Macaca fascicularis: one gene and its partners. The protein of the gene in region 4 interacts with the protein of the main gene of each other region in a pairwise test. Links are inferred from orthologs where the notes say so. Each region holds a gene or a part of one and is shown on either strand. Other genes may lie near its edges.

The links.
Region 1: the proteins of REEP6 (region 4) and LITAF interact in binary tests that used the Homo sapiens proteins (3 or more experiments, as listed by UniProt). The two-hybrid records come from large-scale screens. The link is inferred for Macaca fascicularis from reciprocal best matches to the Homo sapiens genes REEP6 and LITAF.
Region 2: the proteins of REEP6 (region 4) and SPG21 interact in binary tests that used the Homo sapiens proteins (3 or more experiments, as listed by UniProt). The two-hybrid records come from large-scale screens. The link is inferred for Macaca fascicularis from reciprocal best matches to the Homo sapiens genes REEP6 and SPG21.
Region 3: the proteins of REEP6 (region 4) and NDRG4 interact in binary tests that used the Homo sapiens proteins (3 or more experiments, as listed by UniProt). The two-hybrid records come from large-scale screens. The link is inferred for Macaca fascicularis from reciprocal best matches to the Homo sapiens genes REEP6 and NDRG4.

What each region holds. Positions count from the first base shown.
Region 1 is NC_088394.1:12,233,704-12,240,923, reverse strand, and holds the end of LITAF (lipopolysaccharide-induced tumor necrosis factor-alpha factor), read left to right. Parts: intron 1-54; coding exon 55-211; intron 212-4,013; coding exon 4,014-4,122; 3' UTR 4,123-5,775; downstream 5,776-7,220.
Region 2 is NC_088381.1:41,566,290-41,573,509, forward strand, and holds part of SPG21 (maspardin), read right to left. Parts: intron 4,101-7,220; coding exon 3,939-4,100; intron 1-3,938. UniProt on the Homo sapiens protein: May play a role as a negative regulatory factor in CD4-dependent T-cell activation.
Region 3 is NC_088394.1:54,613,172-54,620,060, forward strand, and holds the end of NDRG4 (protein NDRG4), read left to right. Parts: intron 1-112; coding exon 113-160; intron 161-303; coding exon 304-339; intron 340-450; coding exon 451-502; intron 503-1,754; coding exon 1,755-1,793; intron 1,794-2,198; coding exon of another isoform or gene 2,199-2,299; exon of another isoform or gene 2,300-2,515; coding exon 2,516-2,670; 3' UTR 2,671-4,529; downstream 4,530-6,889. Other genes in the region: N-lysine methyltransferase SETD6, read left to right, coding at 6,467-6,889. UniProt on the Homo sapiens protein: Contributes to the maintenance of intracerebral BDNF levels within the normal range, which is necessary for the preservation of spatial learning and the resistance to neuronal cell death caused by ischemic stress.
Region 4 is NC_088393.1:2,083,974-2,091,875, forward strand, and holds the start of REEP6 (receptor expression-enhancing protein 6), read left to right. Parts: upstream 1-3,644; 5' UTR 3,645-3,726; coding exon 3,727-3,841; intron 3,842-7,902. Other genes in the region: PCSK4 (proprotein convertase subtilisin/kexin type 4), read right to left, coding at 547-853, 949-1,041, 2,232-2,336, 2,597-2,785. UniProt on the Homo sapiens protein: Required for correct function and survival of retinal photoreceptors. Required for retinal development.

The DNA of each region.
Region 1 (7,220 bases), on a different chromosome or scaffold from region 4:
GCTAGTGGCCTTGTTTCCTGAGCAGCCTGTGTTTGTCCCTCTCCCTTTCATCAGTTACCGTGCAGACGGTCTATGTGCAGCACCCCATCTCCTTTCTGGACCGCCCTGTTCAAATGTGTTGTCCCTCCTGCAACAAGATGATCGTGAGTCAGCTGTCCTATAATGCCGGTGCCCTGACCTGGCTGTCCTGCGGGAGCCTGTGCCTGCTGGGGTGAGTCTGCCTCCCACTTGGCCCCAAGCCCTCCTGCCCTTCTCTCCGGGTGCTGGCGGCGGGGTGGGTTCTCAACCGCACCATGCTTGGCATTCAGGCCAGACATTTGTGTTGGTTTCTTTTGAGATGGAGTCTCACTCTGTCACCCAGGCTGGAGTACAGTGGGGCAGTCTCGGCTCTCTGCAACCCCCACTGCTCAGGTTCAAACGATTCTCCTGCCTCAGCCTCCTGCGTAGCTGGGATTATAGGGGTACACAACCACGCCCAGCTTATTTTTAATAGAGTCGGGGTTTCACCATCTTGGCCAGGCTGGCCTCAAACTCCTGACCTTAGGTGATCTGCACGCCTCGGCCTCCCAAAGTGCTGGGATTACAGGTGTGAGCCACTGTGCCTGGCCTAACACAGTTCTTTCTTTTTTTGTGACGGATTCTCACTCTGTTGCCCAGGCTGGAGTGCAGTGGCGTGATCCCGGCTCACTGTAACCTCTGCTCCCCGGGTTCAAGCGATTGTCCTGCCTCAGCCTCCCTAGTAGCTGGGATTACAAGTGTGCACCGCCACGCCCGGCTAATATTTTGTATTTTTAGTAGAGATAGGGTCTCACCATGTTGGCCAGGCTGGTCTCGAACTCCTGACCTCAGGTGATCTGCCCGCCTCAGCCTGCCAAAGTGCTGGGATTACAGGCATGGGTCACCATGCCTGGCCCAAGACATTTCTTGATTGTAGGGGGTGTCCTGTGCATTGTAGGATATTGAATAGCATCCTTGGCCCCCACTCGCTTGATGCCAGGAGCACTACGCTCCCCACTTCTGACCAAAAATACCCCCTGGGAGGCCAAGTCATCCCTACTGCTCTATCAGTCCCCAGAAATTGGTCTTCCGTCTTTTCTTCTTGCTTATCTGCGCGTGGGGACAAGCTTCACAGCTGCTTCCAGCTGTGTGTAGGGCAATACCCTCAGGGGTTCCTTTTCTTCTAGAATTTCATGACCTAAATAATAATGTTTGCTGGAGCCCGAGGGAAGCTTTAAACAATCTGTGCATTAAAATTCTTCATAGGAATCGCTTCAAAACTTCTTATCCTTTTATGACCCAAAGTATTTTTCCCGTTGCCCATGCGCGGGAATTATGTAAATATTTATGTCTGCACCCAGGGTATTATGTTTAAAGAGATAATAGTTTCTGTTCTGGGAGAAAAATCTGAGGAAACACAATCAATTTTTTGTTTCCCACCAAGCAGGTAAAAGTAGCTTCCTTATTCCTGGCCACGTGAGCCACTCAGAAAACCCCAAGGGGCTCCATTCTTTTCCTTGAAGGAACCGATGTTTGTGACTTTCAGGAGCCTCATGCAACCAACACATTCCTCCACATTGTCCTTTGGTGACTTGAGGTTGAAAAGGAACAATATTTCTCTTCCTAACTTCAGTAAGAGGCTCAGAGTCCCGGAGAGTGTAGTTAACTTCCTCGAGGTCATGTGTTAAATAAGGAAGGAAGGAGACAAAACAGCTTTCTGGGCACCTGATTCCCCCTCTTGCCCACAGGACTCTGCTGTTGTTTTCATTCCATGGGCAGAAAATGCTAAAAAAAAAAAAAAAAAAAAAAAAAAAAGAGTCCATTGCCTCTGGATATTTGTATTAAAACAAATTTTTATCTTTGAAATCAGGGAAAGGACAGAATAGAAACTTCCTTGTTTTGTTTTGTGTGAGACTGAGTCTTGCTGTGTTGCCCAGGCAGGAGTGCAGTGGTACGATCGTAGCTCTCTGCAGCTTTGACCTCCTGGGCTCATGCAATCCTCCCACTTCAGCCTCCTGAGTATCTGGGACCACAGGTGTGTGCCACCATACCCAGCTAGTTAAAAATTTTTTGTGTGTGTGTGTGTGTGGAAGCGGGTGTTTTACTATGCTGCCCAGGCTGGTCTTAAACTCCTGGACCCAAGCAATCCTCCCGCCTTGACCTCCCAAAGTGCTGGAATTATAGAGGAATAGAAACTTACACTGAGTATTGGCCTCTGCCAATCTGGCTTTACAAATTGAGGCAGCCTTTGTTTCCCTCCCTTTGTTCCTTCCTTAAACATGGTAGAGTGGGTTCAAATCCTGCCTCTCACTAGCTGTGTGGCCATGGGCAAATGACTTTACCTCTCTGTGCTTCGGTTCCTCATCTATAGACGGGGGGGCGGGGCAATAAGGCCCACCTCAGGGGCTGCCGAGGATAAAATATATGTGTGTGCTGCCTGGAGCCGTGCCTGCACCTGTAAGCCATAGGTTAGGACTCCTGCTGAACGGACTGACTGCTCTTATTTGAGCTCTGGAAAGCTTAGGCAATAGGAGGAAATTTCTTTCATGAGATAATTTCCTCATCAGAATGTTTCCAAATTTTGCCTTATGTAAACCAGCATCTTCCCGTAAAAGGCTGAGTTTTAACCACGTTTTTGACAAACATTGGTTGTCAGGCTGTCTGACGTTCCTTCCTGTGTGTGCCAATGGTGGATTATGTAGGTTAAGAGTTGTTATTTGGGGAATTCTACTTGGTTGCTGTAAGAAGCAGCCTGTGTATATGGGAAAGAGATCAGTAAGACAGGGGTTGGCAAAACGGCCCTGGAGCCAGGCACCTGTTTGCAGTTTCACAGGAACATAGCCACGCCTATTGGTTTTTGGATTCTCTGTGGCTGTCTTCTCGTTGCAAGGGCAGAGTTGAGTAGTGGCAACAGAGACTCCATGGCTCATCAGGATGAAAGTATCTGGCCGGGTGTGTGGTGGCTTCCACTTGTAATCTCAGCACTTTGGGAGGCGGAGGTGGAAGGATCACTTGAGGCCAGCAGTTCAAGACTAGCCTGCGCAACATAGCAAGACCCCATCTGTACAAAAACAAACAAAGAACAGCAAGAAAAAGACTAAAAGATCTACTATCTGGCCCTTTGCAAAAAAAAGTTCACCAAGCCCATCTAAGACTTTGAAAGATTCCCAAATGACTCAAGATTTGAAAATCATGCTCAAAGGGGGTCTGTCCTTAGGAGGAACCTTGGCGTTGGCTGGCATGTTAATTTCCTAGGGGTGCCATCACGAATTACAACACACCTAGTGTTTAAAACAACAGATATTGACTCTCACAATTCTAGGGGCCAGAAGTGCAAAATCAAAATGTCAGCAGGAGCCGGGTGTGGTGGCTCTCGCCTGTAATCCCAGCACTTGGGGAGGCCAAGGCAGGTGGATCACTTGAGGTCAGGAGTTTGAGACCAGCCTGGCCAACATGGTGAAACCTCATCTCTCCTAAAAATATATAACTTAGCTGGGCGTGGTGGCATGCGCCTGCAGTCCCAGCTACTCAGGAGGCTGAGGCGAGGAGAATTGCTTGAACCCAGGGGGAGGGAGAATTGCTTGAACCCTGGGCAACAGAGCAAGACTCCGTCTCAAAACAAACAAATAAACAAACAAACCAAAAAAAAAAAAAACCCCAAATGTCAGCAGGGCCACGCTCCCTCCTAAGGCTTCAGGGCAGAATGTTTTTTTGCCTCCTCCAGCTTCTGGTAGCTCCAGGTGTTCCTTGGCTTATGGCCTCATCGTTCCAGCCTCTGCCTCTGTCTTCACATGCCCTTCTGCCCTCTCTGAATCTCTGTGTGTCCTCTCCTCTTCTTCTAAGGTCATTGGGTTTTGGGGGTCCACCTGGATAATCCAAGATGATCCCATCTCAAAATTCCTAATTATACTGGCAAAGACCCTTTTTACAAAGAAGGACATGAACATGTTTTTGGCAGCCAGTGTCCATCCTATTGTGGTCAGTAACGTGCTCCACGTGTCTCTCTCCCCTCCCAGGTGCGTAGCGGGCTGCTGCTTCATCCCCTTCTGCGTGGACGCCCTGCAGGACGTGGACCATTACTGTCCCAACTGCAGAGCTCTCCTGGGCACCTACAAGCGTTTGTAGGACTCAGCCAGACATGGAGGGAGCCGGGTGCCGCAGGAAGTCCTTTCCACCTCTCATCAAGCTTCACACCTGGTGGAGGTTCTGCCCTGGTGGTCTCACCTCTCCAGGGGGCCCACCTTCATGTCTTCTTCTGGGGGGAAATGTCGCAAAACTAACAAACCTCCAAACCCCAAAAATTGCTGCTTGGAGTCGTGCATAGGACTTGCAAAGACATTCCCCTTGAGTGTCAGTTCAACGGTTTCCTGCCTCCCTGTGACCCTGAGTCCTCCCATCTAACTGTGATCATTGCCCTCTCCGAGTATCTTCCAGTGATCTGCCATCAGTGGCTCTTTTTTCCTGCCTCCGTGGGCCTTTCTGGTGGCAGTCTCAAACTGAGAAGCCACAGTTGCCTTATTTTTGAGGCTGTTCTGCTCAGAGCTCAGCTGAACCAGCCTTTAGTGCCTACCATTATCTTATCCATCTGTTCCCATCCCTGATGATAAAGATCTTGCCTTATAGACTTTACAGACTTGGCTTTTAGAATCTGTAACTTCAGACTTCATTAGCACACAGATTCACTTTAATTTCCTAATTTTTTTTTTTTTTTAAGTAAAAAGAGGGGCTATTAACACGCAGTACAGACATATCCATGAGGTCATAAATGCATCCTAGAATACCAGGGCTGGATTTTATCACTGCCCTGTGTCCCCTTGTTTCTCTGTGCCAGATCATCAGTGCCCCTTTCCATACAGGGATTTTTTTCTCATAGGGTAATTATATGAACAGTTTTTATGACCTCCTTTTGGTCTGAAATGCTTTTGAACAGAATTTCTTTCTTTTAAAAAAAAAAAAAAAACAGAGACGGGGTCTTACTGTGTTGCCCAGGCTGGTCTCAAACTCCTGGGCTCAAGAGATCCTTCTGCTTTGGCCTCCCGAAGTGCTGGGATTGCAGGCATGAGCTACCGTGTGGGGCCTGAACATAATTTCAAGAGGAGGATTTATAAAACCATTTTCTCTAATCATATGATCGGTGTCATTTTCCCATTTGCCAGTGTAGTCTCACTTAAAAAAAGAAAAGGAAAAGAAATGGATAATTTCATCCGCTGCCTTTACTTGGGGTTCATGTGGTTCTTAAACACCTTCATCATGGAACTCCCAAAGTGGGGTCCCTTTTGGGTTCCTGGTGGTGGGTTTTGGAAGATAAGGGAAAGCACATTTTGAGCATGTCTGGGTACCATGGTGCGGAACACTTGGGAACCAGAGCTGTTTCAGAGGAATCTGAAGTCTGATTTTAGTTTTCAGAGACATGGCTTGTTGTAAAACATCAGAAGACATGATTTCCAGGACTCAAGCAGCAAGCCAGGATTCTAGGTTGGCTGCTGTGTCATCTTTGAAGTCAAGACAAAGCTGGGCTCGACCTTCAAGAGTCCTCGATTTGACAATAATTCAGCTTAGGGAACTCATGTGAATACTACTATGTAAAAATAAAACCTAGACCTTGAGCGAACATCTGTATATTGGTTGAAAATGATAGTGGTAACCATGGATCCCCCTTACTTCATTTGATGTTTGGAAAATTCCAGTAATTATCATTTTTGCAATGAATACGGATACCACATAGTACTTTGGTGTTACCTGCTTTTGAAAAATAAAGTCTTTGGTTCACCCGGTGAACTATTTATGAGTTCTTTTGGTGTGAAGAAAGGGCTCGTGTTGCGTTTCCAGCCATTGCTACAAAGAACCTTTATTTGCTCAGTAACGGTAGAAAATCCTTCCCGATTAAAAACGTCAGACTTGCTGAATATCCTGCAATGTCTAGATGAGCGATGTTGATTTGGGTGGATTTGCTAACGAGTCAGATTTGAACATGAGGCTTTTGGAACCCAATAGGCGTCGTTGATGGCGGCAAGCCATAGCTTTCAAGTTTTAATAAAATGCACAGAAGAGAGCTGTCCTCATTCATTCTCTGAACAAAACATGCTTTGTGAGATGCTAAAAGGAGGGTATTGTAACATGTCAGGAGTATGGATGCCGCCTTCCCCCCTCCTTTGCTACCTGATGATACAGCTTCATTTTGCTAGATGCAAGGAAATAATGTCATCTTGGTGTGGCTTACATTGTCATTTAAACCCTAAATTACAGTCTTGAAAAATTGCTGCTTTCCAGATCTTGATTGTGTAGTTTTGGGGCCATGCATATTTAGCAGTTTGGCTCAGATGGTGGCATATACATGATCTCAAGCTATTATTAATTACACATGCAAAGTCTTCAAAACAAGAGCCCTATTTCAGGATCAGTAAAAACATGTATTACGCGAAACTTTCATGTCAGTTGCCTGGAGTACGAAGCATTCATTGGATATTCCATTTTACTGTTCAAAGTATGGACTTACATATCAAATTAAAAGGCTCTTTTGTTCTGCCGCTGTTTGATGGGGACTTGAGAGTCTCTTGCAAACACTGGTTCACATTCAATTAATGAAAGGGCTTTATACCTGCCTGCTTGGACTGCAAAGAGGAATTTTACCAATCTGAAACCAAAAGTGGCTATTTATCTTATATTCTGTTATGTCCATCTAGGCGAGGTGGCCTTCTAAGAAGTGTTGGTTTGTGTCTTAATGAAATTATTCAGCTACTACATCTCTTGAAGCCAGACTTAAGCATATGATGGATTCCTTGCTGACCACAGCGTTACCCGTGAAGATTTTTTCTCTGGGACAACTGGCTTCCCAGTTGCTAACGAGAACACTTCTGTTGGATACTGAACTATTTATAAACAGGGCTTCATATACTCACACCATTTGGCCTCAGTTTTCTCTCCAGTGAGAGTCTGACGTGTTTGGGATGTTAAAAATCCTTCTCTGACTTTCTGGGCTCAGGATTTCTGTTAGGAGTAAATCTAGACGTTGGAATTTTACTTGCAGAATTCTGATTTGCCTTTTGGTTCGTCGGTCCTCTCCTTCCTGTATGACTGAAATGTTTACAATGAGCCACCTGTATTTTGCAGGCACATGAGTGAATTGGAAGTAGATCTACCAGGGGCCATGAAAGAGACATTAAGAGTAGTTTCGCTTTTTATTTTTTTGAGAGGGAGTCTTGCTCTGTCACTCAGACTAGAGT
Region 2 (7,220 bases), on a different chromosome or scaffold from region 4:
CTCAGGAGAGATGGAAACAAAATTTGTTCTAAGGAGAGCTCCCTCTCTTTTTGGTAGCATTTCTTTAAGGGGGTATTCAGTAAAGTTGTTCCTCTTCTTTTAAATGACTTAGTTACTCTATTTCATTTATTGTACTTTGGGGTGTTTGTTTCTTGAGACAGTCTCCTCTGTTGCCCAGGCTGGAGGGCAGTGGCGCGATCTCGACTCATTCCACCTCTGCCTCCCGGGTTTGAGTGATTCTCCTACCTCAGCCTCCTGAGTAGCTGAGATTACAGATGTCCACCACCATACCCAGCTGATTTTTGTATTTTTAGTACAGACACAGTTTTGCCATGTTGGCCAAGCTAGTCTCAAACTCCTGACCTCAAGTGATCCACCTGCCTTGGCCTCCCAAAGTGTTAGAATTACAGGCACGAGCCACTACACCCAGCTTGTTTTTGAGATAGGGTCTCTCTCTCTCACCCAGGCTGGAGTGCATTGGCACAATTGTAAGCTCACTGCAGCCACAACCTCCTGGGCGCAAGCGATGCTCCCACCTCAGCCCCCCAGTAGCTGGAATCACAGGCATGCACCACCATGCCTGGCTAATTTTTATATATATATTTTTTGTAGAAATGGGGTTTTGCCATGTTGCCCAGGCTGGTCTTGAACTCCTGGGCTCAAGCGATTTGCCTGCCTCAAGCGATTTGACTGCCTCAGCTTCCCAAAGTGCTGGGATTACGGGTGTGAGCCAACAGAAGTACCATGCCAGGCTATTGTACTTCTGTTTGTGAAAAAGAAGTATGGTACTTGACTATATGTAGCCTGTCTATTAATGCTGGCAATGATGAGGAAAAAGAAGTACAAGTCACAAACTCATTTCTAAGGGACTCAGGTTTGTCCCCTAAGAATTCCTTTTTTTGTTGTTTGAGATGGAGTCTCACTCTGTCACCCATGCTGGAGTGCAGTGGTACGATCTCAGCTCACTGCAACCTCTGCCTCCTGGGTTCAAGCGATTCTCCTGCCTCAGTCTCTCAAGTAGCTGGGACTACAGGCGTGTGCCACCATGCCCAACTAATTTTCTTTCTTTTTTGCATTTTTAGTAGAGACGGGGGGTTTCACTGTGTTAGCCAGGATGGTCTCGATCTCCTGACCTCGTGATCCACCCACCTCGGCCTCCCGAAGTGTTGGGATTACAGGCGTAAGCCACCGTGCCTGGTCAAGAATTCCTTTTTTATGTACATATAAAACCCACTGGCTGGGCGCAGTGGCTCATGCTTGTAATCCCACCGCTTTGGGAGGCTGAGGCAGGGGAATCACTTGAGGTCAGGAGTTTGAGACCAGCCTGGGGAACATGGTGAAACCCCATCTCTACCAAAAAAATACAAAAATTATCCAGGCATGGTGGCAGGCAGCTGTAATCCCAGCTACTGGGGAAGCTGAGGCATGAGAATTGCTTGAGCCTGGGAGGTGGAGGTTGCATGAGCTGAGATCATACTACTGCACTCTAGCTGGAGCGACAGAGCGAGTCTCCATCACCAAAAAACAAAAACAAAAACAAAAACAAATCCCAAAAAACCTCGTCTAACAGGCTTATTGTTTAAGCACTTAGGTTCATTTTGTTACTGATGAATCACTGGAATGGATACTGCCAAATGAATTATGGGATCATTTTAGATTTGATGTATGACTTTTATTATTAAAATTCTATTTGTGGGTAAAACTTCCACCATGCCAAGAAAGAATGGGGAACCGATTCTCCCTAGCAGAAAGTTTGAGAATTTGAGTCAGATGATAGCCTAAAAGAAAGGGGATGATATTTTCATGGAGTCTTTAATTTATAAATATCTGTGCCCACACAGGTGACAAAATTATACACAACTTAATACATACAAACAAATGTGTTCAAGCAGAACTGGAGAAACCTGAATGAGATTGGTAGATTGTAGTAATATCAATATCCTGGTTGTGATATTGTACTACAGTTTTGCAAAGGTTTGGCGGAAACTGAGGAAATGTGTAAAAAGGATATTTCTCTGAACTATTTTTTACACTGCATGTGAATCTACAATTACAACAAAAAAAAATTTAAAAAGGTCTGTGCATTATAACTGCTAGATACTAACAAATATCAAATAAATTCCACAACCTCATGGAGCTGAACATTCTGATCAAGACGCTGTTGACCTTTTCTTGATTAACTATCCTCCTAACGAAACAGGGAAAGCCCACATCGAGAACCTTGAGGGCAAAGAAGAAACATCCAGCCAGAAGCCAAGGCTCTCATGATCTGCCACTGTGGAGCGAGAAACGCTGTTGGACAGCACTCCCAAGTGGGACGGGCACCTGCAGGCTGCTTGGCTCCCCCTCCCTGGCTGATCAACAGGGGCCACCAAAAATGGTAGTGTCATGTCTCAGGCTGCAGAGGGCTTGGATGAGGGCAGTTCCTACCCTGTTCTAGAATGCTGTTTGTGAAGAGGAATGACTGAAAGTCTGAACAAAGGAGGATTATGTTGCAGAGGCTCAAACATGTCATGTGACGAATGGTTAAAGAAGCTGGAGAAATTAAGCCAGAGAAGAAAAGACCCAGGAGAAAAGCAGCAGGTGGTGGTGATGATAACTGTTTTCTCAAGTAAGAGATGGGCTCTCAGGAGGAAGAGGAACTGATTTCTTTTGTGTGGCCTCAGTTGGTGGTAACCTCAGTAGAACTTTCAGTTACCTTCCAAGAGAAGACATGTGACATGCTTTTTCACCCCTTCAACAGTAAATAACACACACACTAACAGCAGCACTCCCACCGGGAGTACCACTTACAAGTGAATACTGCAGGCGACTGCCAGCTAAAAAGGCTGTCTCCTTCCTGGGAAATTAGGAGACCAACGTCCTGACCAACCTGTGTCGTTACAGTGGAAGCATGCAAAAAAAAAAAAAAAGAAAAAAGAAAAATCAGTCACCAGGAAGAGTGCCTTTCCCACACACTTTTCTCCCAGAGAAGACTCAAGAATGATCAGTGGGAAACTGGATTTAGACCAAACTCGGCTATAAAGTACTAATCATAAACAAAAAACTTCCTAACCAAATGCTAACATATGAGCTAATTAATGAATCTCACCTCAAATATCAAAGATTTACACGAAAAGCCAGCTTTTCAGTCACTTGTGTGTTAGCTAATCCCTTTGTTGTCTAATATTCCATGCTCAGCAACCCTGGAAGCAGTGCTGTGATAAAACGAGGAGCAGAAACAGAGCCAGGAGACAGAGCTCAGTTCCTCCCTCCACCACTTACTGGCTGTGTGAGCCAGACCTCAGTTTCTTCATCTGTAAACAAGGACAACACTTCCAACCACTCCGAGTTGAGAGAAGGGCGTCAGGAGAGAATGCACGTAAACGCTGGGCATGGAGAGGCTGCCAATAGAGGTTTGTTCCTTCTGAATCTCTGTGTGACTGTGGACTCACACCAGCCTCCTTCAAAAGGCTTCATCTCACATATTAAAATAGGCAAACAATATCTTTCCTCAATTAAAAAAAACTGCCCGGCCGGGCGCAGTGGCTCATGGCTGGAATCTCAGCACTTTGTAAGGCTGAGGCAGGTGAATCATGAGGTCAGGAGTTCGAGACCAGCCTGGCCAACATGGCGAAACCCCGTCTCTACTAAAAATACAAAAAATTAGCTGGGCATAGTGGCGGGCACCTGTAATCCCAGCTACTCAGGAGGCTGAGGCAGGAGAATTGCTTGAACCTGGGAGACGGAGGTTGCAGTGAGCTGAGATCACGCCACTGCACTCCAGCCCTAGGTGACAGAGTGAGACTCCGTCTCAACAAACAAACAAACAAACAAACTGTGCCTATTACTATAGCTGATCAGAGACAGAAGCACACACACACACACACACACACACACACACACACAAACCCACAAAACGTCGGTCTACATTTTAATACTGAATCAGTAATACTTACAGCGATAACCCGGTAACCCCATCCAGTCAGAGCCAAAATCTGCCGGAAAAAGACATCTGCAGTTCCACTGACAGGGGGCAGGAATATGAGAGGACACCTGATACTTCGGGGGCCTGCATCATAGAGCGACCATATCTTACTGTCATCATCATCTACGATAATCTGGAGGGAAATTTAAAAGAAAAAAGTGGAAAATCTTATAAATTCACTTTTTATGTTATTTTACACTATCATTTCACTGACAATTTTAACACTACTGCCTTGTTTGTTACAAGGTAACCTGAAGCTCACACCAGATTAGCATGCATGACAGACTCCTCTAGTCTCCTTTTCTTTCCTCAGGGCTAACATATTCCACAGAACTACTTAGAACTACTTTATAATCTTCCAGAGGGCTGCTGCTTCTCTGTTTCTTCCCCCCCACCCTTTTTCTTTTTTTGAGACAGAGTCTCGCTCTGTCGCCCAGGTTAGAGTGCAGCAGCGTGATCTCGGCTCACCGCAACCTCCACCTCCCAGGTTCAAGCGATTCTTGTGCCTTAGCCTCCAATGTAGTTGGGATTATAGGCATGTGCCACCACACCCAGCTAATTTTTGTATTTCTATTAGAGACAGGGTTTTGCCACGTTGGCCAGGATGGTCTCGAACTTCTGACCTCAGGTGATCTGCCTGCATCAGCCTCCCAAAGTGCTAAGATTACCGGCATGAGCCACCACACCTGGCTGCTTCTCTCAGTTTCTACCTTTCCCGTCCATCCACAACAATAGGAAGAAATCTATTTTGCTTAACATTAAACAGTGAACTCTATACAAGACATCTTATTTCTTCCCACATTTCTGGTTGTGTGTGTGTTTAAGAATGTGTCTGTACAAGGAGGGCAGTCTGCAGTCATTCTGCAGTGCTGACCCAGAGGACTGGCTGGGATGTGCAGGGTCAGAGTATGAACAGGGGAGCTGATGGGGAGACAAGGCTCCTAGCTCGTGTCTCTATCCACCTGGATAGGTGGGTAGAGATAGCACCAGCTCAGGAGATGCTTCAGGAGCCTCTCTAAACCAAGCCTTTGGGGAGTTGTGGGGGAGACTCTGCTACAGAAGGGGAACGAGGCAGGTCTATGTGTCACTCTCCTGGGAGAATACATCAAACCAGTAGGGGTTAGGGAGTGGCACAGAGAGAAACTGGCTTTTTGGTGAAAAGTGGGTAGGAAGGAGGAAGGTAATCAGAAACCTTCCTGATGGAGTGGTTCTTGACCCAACATGACGGGGAAATAATGAGCACTGGAAGAGCTGAGGGGGCCGGGCATGGTGGCTCACGCCTATAATCTTAGCACTTTGGGAGGTCAAGGCAGGTAGATTACCTGAGGTCAGGAGTTTGCGACCAGCCTGGCCAACATGGTGAAACCTTGTCTCTACTAAAAATATAGACATTAGCTGGGTATGGTGGCACATGCCTTTAATCCCAGCTACTGGGGAAGCTGAGGCAAAAGAATTGCTTGAAACTGGGAGGCGGAGGTTGCAGTGAGCTGAGATCGGGCTCCAGCCTGGACAACAGAGCAAGACTCTGTCTTAAAAAAAAAAAAAAAAAGGAAGAAAGAAAACAATGTGCTGAGGGCCAGGCGTGATGGCTCACGCCTGTAATCTCAGTGTTTTGGGAGGCAAAAGGCAGGACTGCTTGAGGCCAGGAGTTTGAGACCAACCTGGGCAACATAGTGAGATCCCCATCTCTACAAAAAATGAAAAAATTAACCAGGTGCGATGGTACACACCTATAGTCCCAGCTACTTGAGAGGCTGAGACACAACAATCGCTTGAGCCCAGGAGTTCAAGGCTGCATTGAGCTATATGATCGCACAACACTCCAGCCCAAGCACCAGAGGGAGATCCTGTCTCTCTCTCTTTTTTTCTTTTTTTTTTTTTTGAGATGGAGTCTCACTCTGTAGCCCAGGCTGGAGTGCAGCGGCACGATCTCGGCTCACTGCAACCTCTGCCTCCCAGGTTCAAGCAATTCTCCTGCCTCAGCCTCCCAAGTAGCTGAGATTACAGGCACGTGCTCCCATGCCCAGCTAATTTTTTGTACTTTTAGTTGAGATGGGGTTTCACCATATTGGTTAGGCTGGTCTTGAACTCCTGACCTCATGATCCACCTGCCTTGGCCTCCCAAAGTGCTGGGATTACAGGCATGAGCCACTGCACCCAGCCCAGATCCTGTCTCTTTAAAATAAATAAATAAATAAATAAATAAATAAAAATACAACAACACTCCAGCCTGAGCAACAGAGGGAGAGATCCTCTCTCTTTAAAAAAAAAAGAAAAAGGAGGCCGGGCGCGGTGGCTCAAGCCTGTAATCCCAGCACTTTGGGAGGCCGAGACGGGTGGATCATGAGGTCAGGAGATCGAGACCATCCTGGCTAACACGGTGAAACCCCATCTCTACTAAAAATACAAAAAAAAAATTAGCCGGGCGCGGTGGCGGGCGCCTCTAGTCCCAGCTACTCGGGAGGCTGAGGCGGGAGAATGGCGTGAACCCGGGAGGCGGAGCTTGCAGTGAGCCGAGATCGCGCCACTGCACTCCAGCCTGGGCGACAGAGCGAGACTCCGTCTCAAAAAAAAAAAAAAAAAAAAAAAAAAACAAAGACAAAGGAAAGAAAAAAAGGCAAGCTGAGGCAAGTCAAGTGCTCAGCAGAGTCTGGCAAATGTTAAGTGTCCTAGAAGTATTAGTTATTATTATTCACTGCATCCTAGTTTAATTTTTGTTTTCTCTGACTTTTGGTGGTATTTAGAAAAGTACATTAACTGCTTGAACATTTGACAATGCAAATCAGTATTTGTTCTACTTTTATATTAAAAAACTCAAGGCCTCCAGGCTCTGTTTTCTGAGAGCTCCTCACTAGCAGGGCTATGGACTCCACAGTGTCACTGTGTGCATGGCAGCACACTAACCAGGGTCACTCACTGGCATCACTAGGAGCAGACAAATGGAGCAAGGCAAAGTCCACAGAGGCCTCACAGTTCCCCTTTGGACTTCCGCAGGTCACAGATGGTGATAATGTATCTCATGCTCATGTTTTTGCCCTGTACGTTTTGCCACTCACTTTTTTGCTTTTTTTTTTCGAGATAGGGTCTGGCTCTGTCACCCAGGCTGGAGTGCAGTGGCACGATCACAGCTCACTGCAGCCTTGACTTCCTGGGCTTAAGCAATCCTCCCATCTCAGCCTCTTGAGTATCTGGGACTATAGGCGTGCACCAACACGCCCAGTTAATTTTTTCTAGTTTTTGTAGAGAAAGGGTC
Region 3 (6,889 bases), on a different chromosome or scaffold from region 4:
CCTCTGCCTCCCTGCACCCCCTCTCCTCCCCAGCTTGGGGCATCAAACCTGCCTTAGCCACAGGGGTGGGGAGGGGCCGGGGCTGTTGCTGAAGCTGGCTCCTTGTCCCCAGGTGGAGTGCAACTCCAAACTGGACCCGACCATCACGACCTTCCTGAAGGTGAGGCTTTCTTCCCCAGCCCTAGGCCAGCTTCCCTAGCATGGGCCCAACCTCAGGGAGGGGCTTGCCTGGGGTCCCAGCCAGGTGGGAGCTTGTCCTGGAGTGAGGGCCCTGCTCAAGTCACCCCACTCTCTCCCTTGCAGATGGCAGACTCCGGAGGGCTGCCCCAGGTCACACAGGTGAGACTTTTGGCCCTCCTGCCCTTCCATCTATGGGGTGGGGGAAGCCTCTACCCTCCCTGCTAATCCTAGGCAGCCAATGAAAGCATGTGCTTGTCCTGCCCTCCGCAGCCAGGGAAGCTGACTGAAGCCTTCAAATACTTCCTGCAAGGCATGGGCTACAGTGAGTACATTTCCACCCCACCACACCTAGAGACCAGTGGGCAGTCAGTGCTGGGGTGGGGGGTCCTGTTTGCAGGGCTGGCACGTGGTGTCAGGGGGTACTGGGGAGCCCACAGGCATAGTTTTGTGTGACCTGGGCCCCGGATGCTGGGCCCCACAGATGCCACCTGAGTTGCAAGTTGCACATCCCAGGCTGTGCCCAGCTCCCCTTTGCCCTTAGGGAGGACTTGGCACACTGTTCTGATGGCAGTGATGGGCATACTGGGGGAAGGGACCCTTCTCTCTGTGCTGAGGGTCCAGGTCCAAGGGCCACGTCCTGCCAGGGAAGCCTGTCTGGGGGTGAGGCACACTCCCCTCATCTGCCCCAGGGCTTGGGGTCAGAGTTGGGCCTACGGCACCTGAGAAGGCCTTTTGAAACAACTGGTGGCTGCACCCAGGGCGTCATAGGAGTGGGCTTGGAGCCTGGGGCCAGGGAAGGCAATTGGGGCGGCCTGGGCATTCAGAGAGCTGAAAGCAGCTGAACCTGAGTTGGCAGATCTGAAAATCTGGGTCTGGGGTAGAACCAGGTACACATACACAGACACACACACCCCTTGGGTGTCTCCTCAACTTCCCCTTCCCTCTAAGACATACCTGTTTCCAGCTCCCCACTACCAGGTGGCAAACTTCCTCTTCTCAGTTTGTTTTTTATTGCCCTCCAGACTTTAGCCTCTGGAGCTGGTATCTCCAGGGCAAACAGGGGGCGGCCTGTGGGAAGGCTGGGGAGGACACCCAGGAATACAGTGCTCTCTGGAGCAGGGCAGAGCCCTAGGGCCCGCAGGGGGGCTCTGCAGGAGCGCAGAGGCTGGGATCAGGGCACAGCAAGCATTTGTGAGGTGAATGGAGGAAGCTTGTCAGGCGCTGAGATGCGTTCTCAGGGTCCTGGGGAGAAACTCCACCAGGCAGCCCCGAGCTGGGAGAGGCACAGAGGGGCAGGCCTCCCCAGTTCTGTACGCAGGAGACTGAGGCCCAGCAGAATGGTGAGGGGATAAGCACCCCACCGGCTGTCAGGGCTTCCTTGGGTCAGAGATCCTTCTGGGGACCACTGCTGGGTGGGCTTCCAGAGCCTCTGACCCTGCCCCCAGCCTCTCTGTGCCTGTCCTTTGTCCCATCTCTCCGGCTCATCTCAATGCTCTGGCCTCAGTGGACCACGCTGTTCACTGTGTTGTGTCTCCCCCACCCCGCCCCCTGTCTGGCTCTGTCTTCTCTCTTAGTTGCGTACTTGAAGGACCGAAGGCTGAGTGGAGGAGCAGGTAGCCCCACAGCCCTTCCCCTGATGCATGGACACCTAGCCTCCCCCTCCCCCGCTCCTGCTGCAGCCAGGCCGCATCTTGCTGTGGTTTGGAACCTTCTTGTGTCCTGTTCCACTCAGAAAGCCCACAGATTCTTGTGTTTCTGCAGACTTGGCCTCTAGGTTGGCTGGGCTGCAGAGCAGTCTTGCTTCTAGGTTGTCATGAGCTTCGTAGCTTCCAGAGCTCTGGGGATTGGAAACAGACCCTCCTTAGAGGTAGAGCCCAGGTCTGGCCCTGCCTGAGCCAGAGGTGGCCAGGAGCGTTCAGGAGGGTAGAGTTTGCTGCCCGCAAGTCTTGCTTGTGAAACTCCAAACAAGGGCAGAGTCTGAATTGAGGGTGACCACTGCTCCGTGTCCTCCTTTACAGAAGCAGTCCTACTTCTCCACCGGCATCCTCGAGGGAGGCACGGCTGGAAACCCAGCACCTCCCTGCACCAGCTGCTCAGGGCTGCCTGGTCAGCTGCTTGAGAGGGCCCTGCTGGCCACAGCCCCCTAGGCCCACTCACTGTCGCTGGCCCTGCATGCCCCCGGCCCGACAGCTGTCGCCAGCCTCCTGGCTCGGGAGGGGCCCTTTGTGCCTTCGAGAAACGGTTCGCTAGCCGCTTTGCTTGCAGCCTACTTTTCCCACCAGAGGCGCCTGGCCCTGCCCGCCAGTCCTCAGGCCCACCCTGTCTCTGTCCACAGTGCCCTCAGCCAGCATGACCCGCCTGGCACGCTCCCGCACTGCATCCCTCACCAGTGCCAGCTCGGTGGATGGCAGCCGCCCACAGGCCTGCACCCACTCGGAGAGCAGCGAGGGGCTGGGCCAGGTCAACCACACCATGGAGGTGTCCTGTTGAAGCCCTCGATCCCGCTGACGACGCCCACCTGTCCGCCCACGTCGAGGCCCCACCGCCATCCTTGCGCCGGCTCATGTTCCCTTTAGTTTATTTTTGTGAGGGCAAAGGGGAGGAAATGGGGTTCTGTTTGAAAAAAATGAGGGGATCTCTCTTAGATCCTTCAGCGGAACAGTCTCCAGGTGTTTTGAGGGGCTCACTCCTCCCCACCCCATCTCACTCTCCGTGGTAACTTGGCCGACTTGACCCCTCTCATCTCACTCCCTGTGGCCCAGGCACAGGAGGGCAGGGCCATAGGGAGGGAGATTCTCTAAGGATCCAGGCCATTCCTGGGTGAGCCCTTGGGCAGGCAGGTTTGCAGATGGGAGAGGCTTCGAGAGGGTGGTTACTGGGCCCACAGGGGTGCAGGGCCAGCTCAGGCACTGGAGTGGGAGCCCTGGGAGACCCCTTCCCCCACTCTCCACCAAGCACACCCGTTTCTGTCTCATAGCACATGTGACAATCATCTGGACAATAGCCACAAGGGGGCGGTCGGACCAGGCAGCCACTTTCCTGGTGCTCTCTGGGCCCAGCTGGTGCTGTAGGGCCAGGCAGGCAGGGGCGTCGGGGTTTCTCTGCCCAAGGAAGACAGAACATGGAGAACCGTGAGGGCAGGAACCCCACAGACTGTCCCTTCCAGCCCACACTCTGCCACCTCCTGGCCCTCTCCCATTTCTGAGCCAAGGCCTCCCCGAGGCAGAAGTTGCCTGGTCGTCTGTCCCCACAGTGACCTGACTGGGGGTGAGGGAGAAGGAAGAGAGAGCCCATGTGTGGCGTGTGTGCCCTGAGAACATCGTGGTGACTGCCTTTGGGAGCCCGCAGGTGGCCAGAGGCAGGGGTAGCTGAGTTCCTGGAGACCCCTTTTTTGCCCCCAGGTTCCCCAGAGGGCAATGCCATCAGTAGCAGTGTGGTGTTTCAGGCAGAGCTCTGGCCAGGCTGTGCCAGCGTGTCCTGGAAGCATCACTAAGGAAGAGAGAGTTTATTCAGTCAACTGGCCCAAGGCAGCGAGACTTCTACCCCATAGCCCCCTGGGCTGGGGCTTACTGGGGGCTGATGATTCTGGACACGAACAAGAGCCAGGTAGAGGAGAAAGGCTTCTCCCACACCCCAGCCCCCTGCTGTCCCCTGAAGCCCAGGACTGTGTTGTATGCTTTCCATCCACCCACCTTACCCTATAGCATCTTGCGGCCCAGAAACCAGAGCCATTTGTCTCAGACCCTAAATCAATGGTCACAAACCTCAAAACAGAGAGGGGAGAGAGCAATGAAAACATGAAGGGCTGTGGAGGGGGAGGGTTGTGGCAGGTGTTCTGAGGCTGAGAGGACACCTATATGCGTATTTCCTCTATACACATCACCCCCCTTCTGTAATCTTAAGCCATGACTAGCCTGGTGATGTGTTAGTTTGTGCCGAGTTCTACCCCCTCATGTGCTGCTTCTGAATACTGAATGTGACTGGTTGAAAGCTGGTAGAATTCATCCCTCTTACTGTAGATAGCACTGCAAATCGTGGAATTTTTTTTTTGTTTTTTGCTGTGTTTCCAGATGAAATATCTATAAATATCTATACATTATATATATAGATGTGTGTGTGTGTGTGTGTGTGTGTACATTGGGTCCTCCCATGTGTGGTGGTCCTCCGGAGGCTGTCTCTTTGGTCAAGGTGAACTTTTAATGTTTATTATTTTCTTCTCCGCACAAAGAGCCTAATTCTGTGTATTCTGGTGGCTGCTGTCATGAGATGACAAAATGTAAAACAAAACTCTAGTCAACGTAGAAAGAGTTAACTGTGCTGAAAAACTAATAAAGAACCTAAGAATTCCAGTGTGGTGATGCCATGCCCATCGTGGGAAGCTTTTGGAGTGACAGAATGTTTGGGCAGGGGCTGCTGGTGCTGCTTGGTTTGGGGTGAGGGTGCTAGGAGAGGATGGTCTCCACCCATCTTTCTATTTCCAGTACATGTCACATTATTTTACCAGTGAGAGGAGAGTGTGACAAACATTAAAAGCCTTATGTGCTAATTTCTGCTTAAACCCCTGACTCTGGGACAAAATACAGCTCTCCTCAGCCAGGCGCGGTTGCTCAAGCCTGTAATCCCAGCACTTTGGGAGGCTGAGGCGGGCAGATCACTTGAGGCCAGCAGTTAAAGACCAGCCTGGGCAACATGGTGAAACCCTGTCTCTACTAAAAATACAAAAATTAGCCAGGCGTGGTGGCAGGCGCCTGTAATCCCAGCTACTCGGGAGGCTGAAGCAGAAGAATCTCTTGAACACGGGAGGCAGAGGTGGTAGTGAGCGGAGATCATGCCACTGCACTCCAGCCTGGGGGACAGAGTGAGACTCTGTCTCAAAATAAAAAACAAAATACAGCTTTCCAGAAAAAAAAAGCCTTAAAAACAAAACACCCCTGCCCTCCAAATCTCTTGCCTGAGTCACTACATTCCTTCAAAGATAAATGACCTGTTCTTTGCCTTCTCCTAAACATACGATCATGTCTGACAGGGTTAATGATTATACTTCTGCAATCTATAACCAGATATACTTATCCCTAAACTTTGATATGATTTTACACATACTAAATCTTCAACTACATATAACCTAAACTAAAATACCCTGTTACAGCAGCCTCACAAGATTACTCCTGGGCTACAGGCCTCAGTCTATAGTCCTCAGTAAGGCTTCTAAATAAAACTAATTTTAATTATTTAAAAACTTAATATTTTTTCTTTAGTCAACATACCAGTCCTTACATTAATCCTACAGGGTAGGTATTATCTTAGTTTCACAGGTGAGGAGACTAAGCTTCAGGAAAAAGGATCTGCCTTAATAATAGACCAGGCCGGGCGCGATGGCTCACGCCTGTAATCCTAGCACTTTGGGAAGCCGAGGCGGGCGGATTGCCTGAGCTCAGGAGTTCGAGACCAGCCTGGGCAACGCGGTGAAACCCCGACCCTACTAAAAATAAATACAAAAAATGAGCTGGGCGTGGCAGCCTACGCCTGTAGTCCTGTAGTCCCAGCTACTCGGGAGGCTAAGACAGAATTGCTTGAACCCGGGAGGTGGAGGTTGCAGTGAGCCGAGACTGCACCACGCACTCCAGCCTGGGCGACAGATCGAGACTCCGTCTCCCCACCTCCCCAAAAAAGAGAAAAAAAAAAAAACACTGAGTGTTGAGCTCCGGCGTTGCTTGGTTTCAAAACCCATTCCTGTAACCTCGTTTATTTATTCACAGCCTCGTTTTCTTAAAAACAGCATGCTACTTCCCCAGGTTTAACCACCATTTGTTTTATTCATTTATTTACCCAATAGGTAGATATTGAGTCCTTACTATGTCAGCTAATAAAACCCACCACGTGCTATGCAGTAGATTAAAAAACGAGGATGTACTGGCAAATAAGGGCAGACAGGATCTATTCTAGATCCAGGAGCCCTCTAGGCCACGCTATTCCGAAACACACACGAAAACTGCTCTGAACGCATACCACCAGTAAAACGATTCCATGGCCATCGGTAACAAGGAGTCGAGATCAGGAGGTCGCTGGCCGCCCAGATGCGTCGCTCACCACCGGCCGGCCGCCAGACCCTCGGCTTCCGATCCAGAAACCGTATTTTGTTCCTACACCCAGACCGCAAGAAGCCTCAGCCCTCGGGGACAGACCAAAGGCCAGGGTTGTACCTGGCTCAGAACCAGGCTCCAAGCGGCACGGGACGCTCCTTCTGCACTCTGACCGCGTGAGTGCAATTGGAGATCCTGGACTCAAGATGTTTTCAGTAGGAACGATTCCAGCCAGCGCTAACACCGGCCGGTCTGCAGCGTGGACGCCAAAACAGGCACCACGTGGTTCTGGCGCCGGGGCGGGGCCAGAGACGCCGGAAGTGGCCGCGCGCTCCACGGGCCCACCGGGCGGCGCGCTTTCAGACCATGGCGACCCAGACGAAGCGCCCACGGGTGAGTGGCGGGTGCGGGGTCCAGCCTTCTCCTTCGCGCCTCACCCCTCCTCCGCCCGCAGGGCCATGCGCCTGCGCCCCCTCCGCTCCCTCCCGCGGGTCCCGCGCCCCTCTCCGCTCGTCCCCACCTCCACCCAAAGCCCGTTCTGCGCGCGCGCGTCGCGGTCTCCTGCCGTTCCCAGCGGGCTCTCTGGGGCCGGGCCTGGTCACTGCGCGCACTTATCTCAGGTGGCGGGG
Region 4 (7,902 bases):
AGCCCCACCCGGGCCACTCCACACCACTCCCCAGCCCCACCCGCGCCACTCCACGCCACTCCCCAGCCCCACCCGCGCCATTCCACGCCACTCCCCAGCCCCACCCGCGCCACTCCACACCACTCCCCAGCCCCACCCCGCGCCACTCCCCAGCCCCACCCGGGCCCTCTCTCTGCTCCCTGGAGTGGACCATCCGTATTGGCTCAGCACCCCCTGAGCCCCAGAGTCTGGGGCCCTAGCACCACCCAGCAGTGACGGGGGGGCTCCCGAGTCCTCCTTCCCTGGTCTGCGGGCCCAGCTCTCCGCCAGCATCACCCCCTTCCCTCTCTGTCCCCCAATGGTGCCGCTGGGGGACCCTGGGTACCTCCAATTCGGGCGTTGAAAGCGACCCCCACACCACAGAAGCCATTGTCGGCCATCGCGGCCACCTCCCCAGCACAGCGGGTCCCGTGCCTGGTGCCAGGGCCAAGAAGGGCTCCCGTCACGGCCTCCATCCCCCTGCCAGGTACTGGGGCTTCCCCCATGTGCTGTGGGAGCCCTGCTCACCGGTTCTCGTCGCTGGGGGTGTAGCGGGGCTGGGGGTCTGGGTCGTAGTCATTAAAGTCGTAGCTGGCCAGGGGGTCCTGGGGACAGGTGGGGATACGAGGGGGCTGGGAGGCGTCCTTGGGTGGAGCCGGTCTCGGCACCTGGGGCAGCCCTCGCCCCCAGCCACCCGCGGTCTCACGTAGTTGGCCCAGAGGTCTGGGTGGTCCTTCTCGATGCCATCGTCCAGCACAGAGACCACAATGCCCTGGCCTGACAGCCCCTGGCCCCAGGCCTGCAGGACACTCAGGTCTGGTTGGGCCTCGCTGTTCTGCAGGGGGAGGCAGGGTGGTGACCCTGTGAGGGCCTGGGGTCGAGGGCGCTAGTGGCCCTGTCCCCACCCACCCACCCTGGCTGCCCGCTCACCATGTACCACTGCTTGGAGAACCAGGGGTCTGTGGGCACCACCACAGAGCGTTTCACCCGCCGCCGTAGCGTCTGCTGCTGGAACCACTGCACCTACAGAGCAGAAGGTGGGTCAGGCCTGTCCGCTGCTCGCTCCTGGGGCCCCTCGTGGTTCAGGGAGTGAGGCAGCCCCATGCCCTGGGGCCCCGTGTTTGTGGGGGCTGCTCTCCAGCGTCCGCATGTACCTGGGGCTCTGTCTGCAGTCAGAGGGGACCGAGGCTTTTGGACCACCTGTCCTTGGGTCCACAGACGCATCGTCGCTGTCCCGGGTGACTGCAGGTCCCCAGGTCCCCACTCCACTCCTTCCCCCATCCCTGTTCTAGATCCTTCTCTCTCCTGCATCACTTCCTTTTTTTTTTTTTTTTTTTGAGACAGAGTCTTGCTCTGTCGCCCAGGCTGGAGTGCAGTGGTGCAATCTTGGCTCACTGCAACCTCTGCCTCCCGGGTTCAAGCGATTCTCCTACCTCAGCCTCCCAAGTAGCTGGGACTACAGGCGCACACCACCATGCCCAGTTAATTTTTGTATTTTTAGTAGAGACGGGGTTTCGCCATGTTGGTCAGGCTGGTCTCAAACTCCTGAGCTCAAATAATCTGCCTGCCTTGGCCTCCTGAAGTGCCGGGATTACAGGCATGAATCACCACACCAGGCCTGGCTTCTCTCTTGCAAACCACATCAGGAACCGGCCACTGCTTTCCCTCCCAGTGCTATAAGCAGGCAGCTGTCCAGTCCTGTTCAAGGCACTTCCTGGCCTCTGAGGGCTTCCAAGGCTCCATCTCAACCCCTCAGCTTGACATCTCAGGCATTTTCTAGACAGGGCCCAGCCCGATCGGACCCAGGCCCCTTTCTGAGCACCCGGACACTGCGTCCTGAGGGCCACTGGGTGACTTTAAGGCTCCTACTCTTTGGAACCCATTCCTGTGTTGTAAAATCCCCTTCCCTCCATCCTATGACCTAGACGGTGGGGAAGGCATTCCATCTGTTCCTCCTTACCAGAGCCCCTGGGACCCAGAGGAGGGAGGGGAAGGGCAAGAGGTGACCACTGTGTACCAGGCCCTGGCAGGCGCCATGATTTCCGTATCTGGGTCTCCCTCCCTCCTCCTGCTGTACAGACTTGTGGTCCAGGTGGGTCTGAGCCACAGAAAGCACACAGCTGTTCATAACAACCACGAGAACCACAGAAGATGGCTAGTGGCCCCAGGAGGCGGCTGAGACCCTGAGAGGGTGGCCTCCAGGCCAGGCTCACCTTGGGGTCTTTCTTCAGGTGCAGGCGGTGGCCCCAGTGCGGGGTCAGGGACTGCTGGACCACGCCCCGGTGCCGCAGGTGAAAGTACTGCCCATCAGGGAAGATCTGGGGATGTGGGGAAGCGGCCGCACCGATAGGACCAGGCTCCCCTGCTGGAGCCCCCGAGGACCGGTAACAGCCCCCTTTCTTGTCCTTCCCCACCAGGTGCTCTCTGGGAGTCCCAGAAGCTGAACTTGGCTGAGGCAGGGGTGGGCTGAGGCTCTTGATATTTAGGAGACCTTGTGGGCTCCCTCCCACTTGTCGGGGTCTAGGGTCCTCTAGTCCCTTCCACGCCCCCACTTCCCGTCCATCCCGGTCCCACCCACCGGCCCCAGGTTGACGAAGCCGAATTTGCGTGCCAGGCGCTCGACCTCCCGGTTACCCTGAGACACCCGGACGGCCCAGCTGCTGACATAGATGGGGGCTCGGACCGAGGCCCACCCCACAGCCCGGGGGCGGACGAGGGCCAGGGCCAAGACCCGGAGCAGCCACAGCGCAATCGGGGCGGGCCGCATGGAGGCGGGGCGGGGCCGGGGGCGGGGCCTGCGCAAAGCCCCTCCCTCCCGCCAAACCGCCGAGTGGACCCAGGCGTCCTCTCAGCCCCCGGCTCCATAGCAACGCGGAAGGCTTCGACTCCCAGGGGGCCTTGCGGCTACTCAGCCAAGACGGGCGCGAAGATCTGACAGAAGCGGGGCAGGGACGCACGCCTGCCCGTCTCCCGCAGACCCACACCTTCGGGAGCCTCAGTTTTCCCATTTGTACAACGACAAGACTAACCCAGAGAAGCGGGTTCACTGTTGCAGTAACGCGTCCTACCCTTTCTTTGGCCTCGCCCACTTTCCAACACACCCCTCCTTCGAGAATCAGCCCGGCCTCCTATCCGGGCTAATCAGAATCATTCTTTCGAGTAATCCCGCCTCCCCCGATAAGCCCCGCCCCGTTCCCGCCCCTACCATTCCAACCTGCCTCCTTTGTGATCAGCCCCGCCCTCCACTGCTCTCGCCAATGAATCGCGTCCCGTTTCTCCAATCGGCTCGGATTTTTCTTTAGCCCCACCCACCGGCTCCGCCCCCACCCGCGCCTCTCATCGCCCTGGCTCCACCCCCTCAGTGTCGCAGCCAATAATCCCGTCCCCTGACGCCGCCCTTCCAATCAGCTACGTCTCGCTCTGGCCCGGCCAATCGGTGCCCTGGGCCGGCGCGCCCCGCCCTCTCCCGGCGGGGTCTGGGCAGCGGCGGCAGCGGGCGGAGGGCTATGCGGCGGGGGAGACGGGGCAGGCCCCACCTCCTTTGTCCGCCCTGCCCTCCCATTGGTCCGGGCGGGGGGCCGGGGGCGGACACCGGCGCCGGGCCGGAGCAGCGCGGCTCAGGCTGCGGGAAAGCGGCGCGCGTGCAGCGGAGTGGGTGCGCGGGTCCGCGGGCGAGCTCGAGCAGCCAACCCCGGGCGCGTCGGGGCCATGGACGGCCTGAGCCAGCGCGTGGAGCGCTTCCTGGAGCAAAGGAACCTGGTCACCGACGTGCTGGGGGCGCTGGAGGCCAAGACCGGGCTGGAGAAGCGGTATCTGGCTGCAGGTGAGCCGTCGGCGCTAGCCCGTTTCGCCAACGGGCACACTGAGGCCATGGGCCCGGGGGTCGCAGGTCTGACTCCCTCCCCGGCTACGGGGTCCGGTCCTGCTCGTAGAGCGCGCGGGGTGACCGGGACTTCGAGGTCCACCCGCAACTCCTCCCTTGCCCGCGCCCTGCGACCCTGCTCCCGAGCCACCCCTCTCTAGCTTCCATCCCTGGCCGTCCCCCGCCGCCTCCTTCTGGGCGCTGGGTGCCTGCCATGCCGAAGTCCGGTTCTTCCAGTTGCCCAGTGGCCCCGGAGAGGCCAGGATGCCAGTGTCCTGCACGTTTCGCCGTCCCCCTCCCCCCGTGGACCCCGACCTGGCTGCAACAGTGGAGATCTTCCCGTTTTTCCGAGGGGAGGCTCCAGGCGGGGAGGGGAACGGACCGTCCCGGGGGGCTGCTCAGGACTCTCCTCTCCTCCTCCTCTCCTGCCCTAGCTCACCTTGCCCCGCTCAATGGCTTAGTGCCACCGCGCGTAAATATTTGTTAAGACGGAGTTGGGTTGTCTGACAGCTGTGATGTGGGGAGGTTGGACTGGGGCCCACAGAGCGGGAGATCCAGGCACCCCGATTGTGACTCCATTACAGTTCTTCCGGGCCTTTCACCCTTGGTGACGCCGCGCCCCTTCGCCTTTCCAAAACTACAGCAAGAGCATGTAGTAAGCGCTCCTTAAATGCCTCTCTCCCCACCTTTAAAACTTTTTTTTTGAGATCGAGTCTTGCCCTGCCGCACAGGCTGGAGTGCAGTGGTGCAATCTCAGCTCACTGCAACCTCTGCCTCCTGGGTTCAAGCGATTCTCCTGCCTCAGCCTCCTGCGCAGCGGGGATTACAGACGCAGGTCACCATGCCCGGCTAATTTTTGTATTTTTAGTAGAGACGGGGTTTCACTATGTTGGCCAGGCTGGTCTCGAACTCCTGGCCTCAGGTGATCCGCCCACCTCAGCCTCCCAAAGTGCTGGGATTACAGGTGTGAGCCACCTTGCCTGGCCTAAAACTTTTTAAAGTTAACTTTTTTAAGAGACAGGGTCTCACTATGTTACCCAGACTGGTCTCAAACTCCTGGGCTCAAGCGATCCTTCTGCCTCAGCCTCCCAAAGCTCTGGGATTTACGTGGGAGCCACTGCTCCCAGCCCCACTGGCTCTGCCTTCTCTTCCAGGAAGCTCCGCAGAATGACTTGAAAGGACTTGATCTGGGCCTGGGGTGTTCTGGGTAGAGGACAGTGCCACTTTTTTGAGCACCTTCTGCAGGTGGATCCCCGGAGTCCAGTCCCCCCCTCCATTTTCCCACCATCTGGGGGTTCCCATGCCAGGCAGCCTGAGAACAGTCTGAAATCTGTGTCCAGACCCTGGAGGTCCCCAGGTGCCTGGTCCCATGTGCAGTGCAGCAGGTGGCATGGGCATGGCCTGGCTGTGCCTGCCCCCGGGAGCAGGTCCCTGGCCTCTGCCCTCCCTTTCCACATCCCTGGGGCCAGTGGGCAGGAATTTAGGTCACAGAGCGCCCAGGAGGCAGGCAGCAGGGAGGGGCTGGCTGGGGCACTGTGTCACCAGAGAGGAAACTGAGGCACAGTTTCCTCTGCGCCTGTTGTGTCTGAGGCGTACACCCCTCCACCCCGCCCACTCCCAGTCCCATCTGCTGCTAATCGTGGGGGCTGGGCCCCCCTCCACAGTTCTGATGTCCAAGGTCATCCTCCCGTTGCTGAAGCTGCAGGAACAGGGATTTAAGGGAGGGACACCCTGGGAGAGTCACTCCTCCCCACAAGCCAGGCCTGGGGAGAGGTAGCATTCCCTCATCCCCCTTCTCCCACCTCATTTAAATCGACAAATCCCACACCCCTGGGTAACATACGAAGAAACTCAGAGGAGACAGTGACCGGGAGGCCACACAGCCTCCCAGCTGGGGGACTCCGCCTACCCGTGACCTCAGGTGCTTGTGGATAAAGACTAAAGCAGGTAGGAGGGGCTGGGAGGGACTTGGGCCTCTGCCCTTTGGTCCGGAAGCAGCCTCTATCTCACTCTGCAGATAGCAGCTCCAGGGGAGGAGGAAGGAGGCTGTCCAAGCTCTCTGAAGCACGGGGGTTCCCTGTGTGACCTTGGGCAACACCCACCCACCCCCAGTTCTGAATAAGATAATTCAGGGAAAGCACAAAACCTGGCACACAATAGGCGCTTAATAAATGCAGCTGTCGTCATCATTCTTTTCAGAGCCAGGTTCAGGATTGGGGCTGAGCTGGACACACACACCTTTTTCTCTGAACACCCTCCTTGCTGGGACTGTGTTATTGTTGCCTGAAGGCACTTAATAAATGTGGAGAAGGGCAGGTCGCGGCGGCTCACGCCTGGAATCCCAGCACTTTGGGAGACCGAGGCGGGCGGATCACCTGAGGTCAGGAATTTGAGACCAGCCTGGCCAACATGGTGAAACCCCGTCTCTACTAAAAATACAAAATTCAGCTGGGTGTGGTGGCACGCTCAGCTACTCAGGAGGTTGAGGCAGGAGAATCGCTTGAGTCCGGGAGGCGGAGCTTGTAGTGACCTGAGATTGTGTCGCTACACTCCAGCCTGGACGACAGAGCAAGGCTCCGTCTCAAAAATAAATAAATGAATAAAAATAAACGCGCAGAAAGGAGTTCTCTCTGTTAACTTGTTATTACTTTTTTTTTGCAACAGAGTTTCGCTCTTGTTGCCCAGGCTGGAGTGCAATGGCATGTTCTCGGCTCATCACAACCTCTGCCTCCTGGGTTCAAGCAATTCTCCTGCCTCAACCTCCTGAGTACCTGGGATTACAGGCATGCGCCACCACTCCCGGCTAATTTTGTATTTTTAGTAGGGATGGGGTTTCTCCATGTTGGTCAGGTTGGTCTCGAAATCCTGACCTCAGGCGATCCACCCACCTCAACCTCCCAGAGTGCTGGGATTATAGGCATGAACCACTGTGCCCAGCCCTCTCTGTTAACTTGAAACCATAAGAGGCAGGGGCCATTACCATTCCCACTTACCAAGGGGGAAACTGAGGCTCCGTGCAGCCACAGCCTTGCTCAGTGCCGGCTGGTGAGTGCACAGCCAACCAAAGGGCTCTCCTCCACCCGGGGGACCGAGATGCTGGGGTTTGCTGCCTCCAAGACGGGGGGGGGGTAGTACTGCCCCCCACCCTGCCCCAGGGACACTGGGTGATGTCTAGGGATATCTGTGGTCGTCATGACTGGGGAGCTGATGGCATGGAGAGGGCAGAGGCCAGGGACGCTGCTCAGCACCCTGCAGTGTCCAGGACAGCCACCTCCCCTCCCCGCCGAAAACAACCAAGAATGACCCAGCCCCGAACATCAGCAGTGCCAAGGCAGAGAAACCCTGCACTAAGATAACGGATGAAACAGTTGCGTTTCTCAGCTCTGGAACCAAGTCTTCATGACAGCCTGGCCTCCCTTGCAGGCTTCACCCATCCCTTATGTTGAAACATTAGCCTCGTTTCCCAGCGCCTCCCATAGGGCCTGGAACGAGATGCCTATCATTGCAGATTATGCTCATTCTTTTTTTTTTTTTTTTTTGAAAAAGAATCTCACCCAGGCTGGAGTGCACTGGCGCAAGCTCTGCTCACTGCAACCACCGCTTCCTGGGTTCAAGCGATTCTCCCGCCTCAGCCTCTCAAGTAGCTGGGATTACAGGCGCCCGCCACCAAGTCTGGCTAATTTTTGTGTTTTTAGTAGAGATGGGGTTTCACCATGTTGGCCAGGCTAGTCTCGAACCCCTGAACTCAGGTGGTCTGCCTGCCCGGTCCGCCCACCTCGGCCTCCCAAAGTGCTGGGATTACAGGCGTGAGCCACCACATCTGGCCAGATTACACTTACTCACTCAGCAAACACTTTATTGGATAGCTATTCTGCACCCACCCCCACTGCCCAGTGTCAAGCTCCTGCCTGCCCTTGGGGAGCTCTCAACCATGGTGGGGGACATGGACACATTGACCAGTTACAGGCACAAGGCTCGGGGCCTAGGGACACGATGGGGGGATGCACAGACACTTTGGGGGC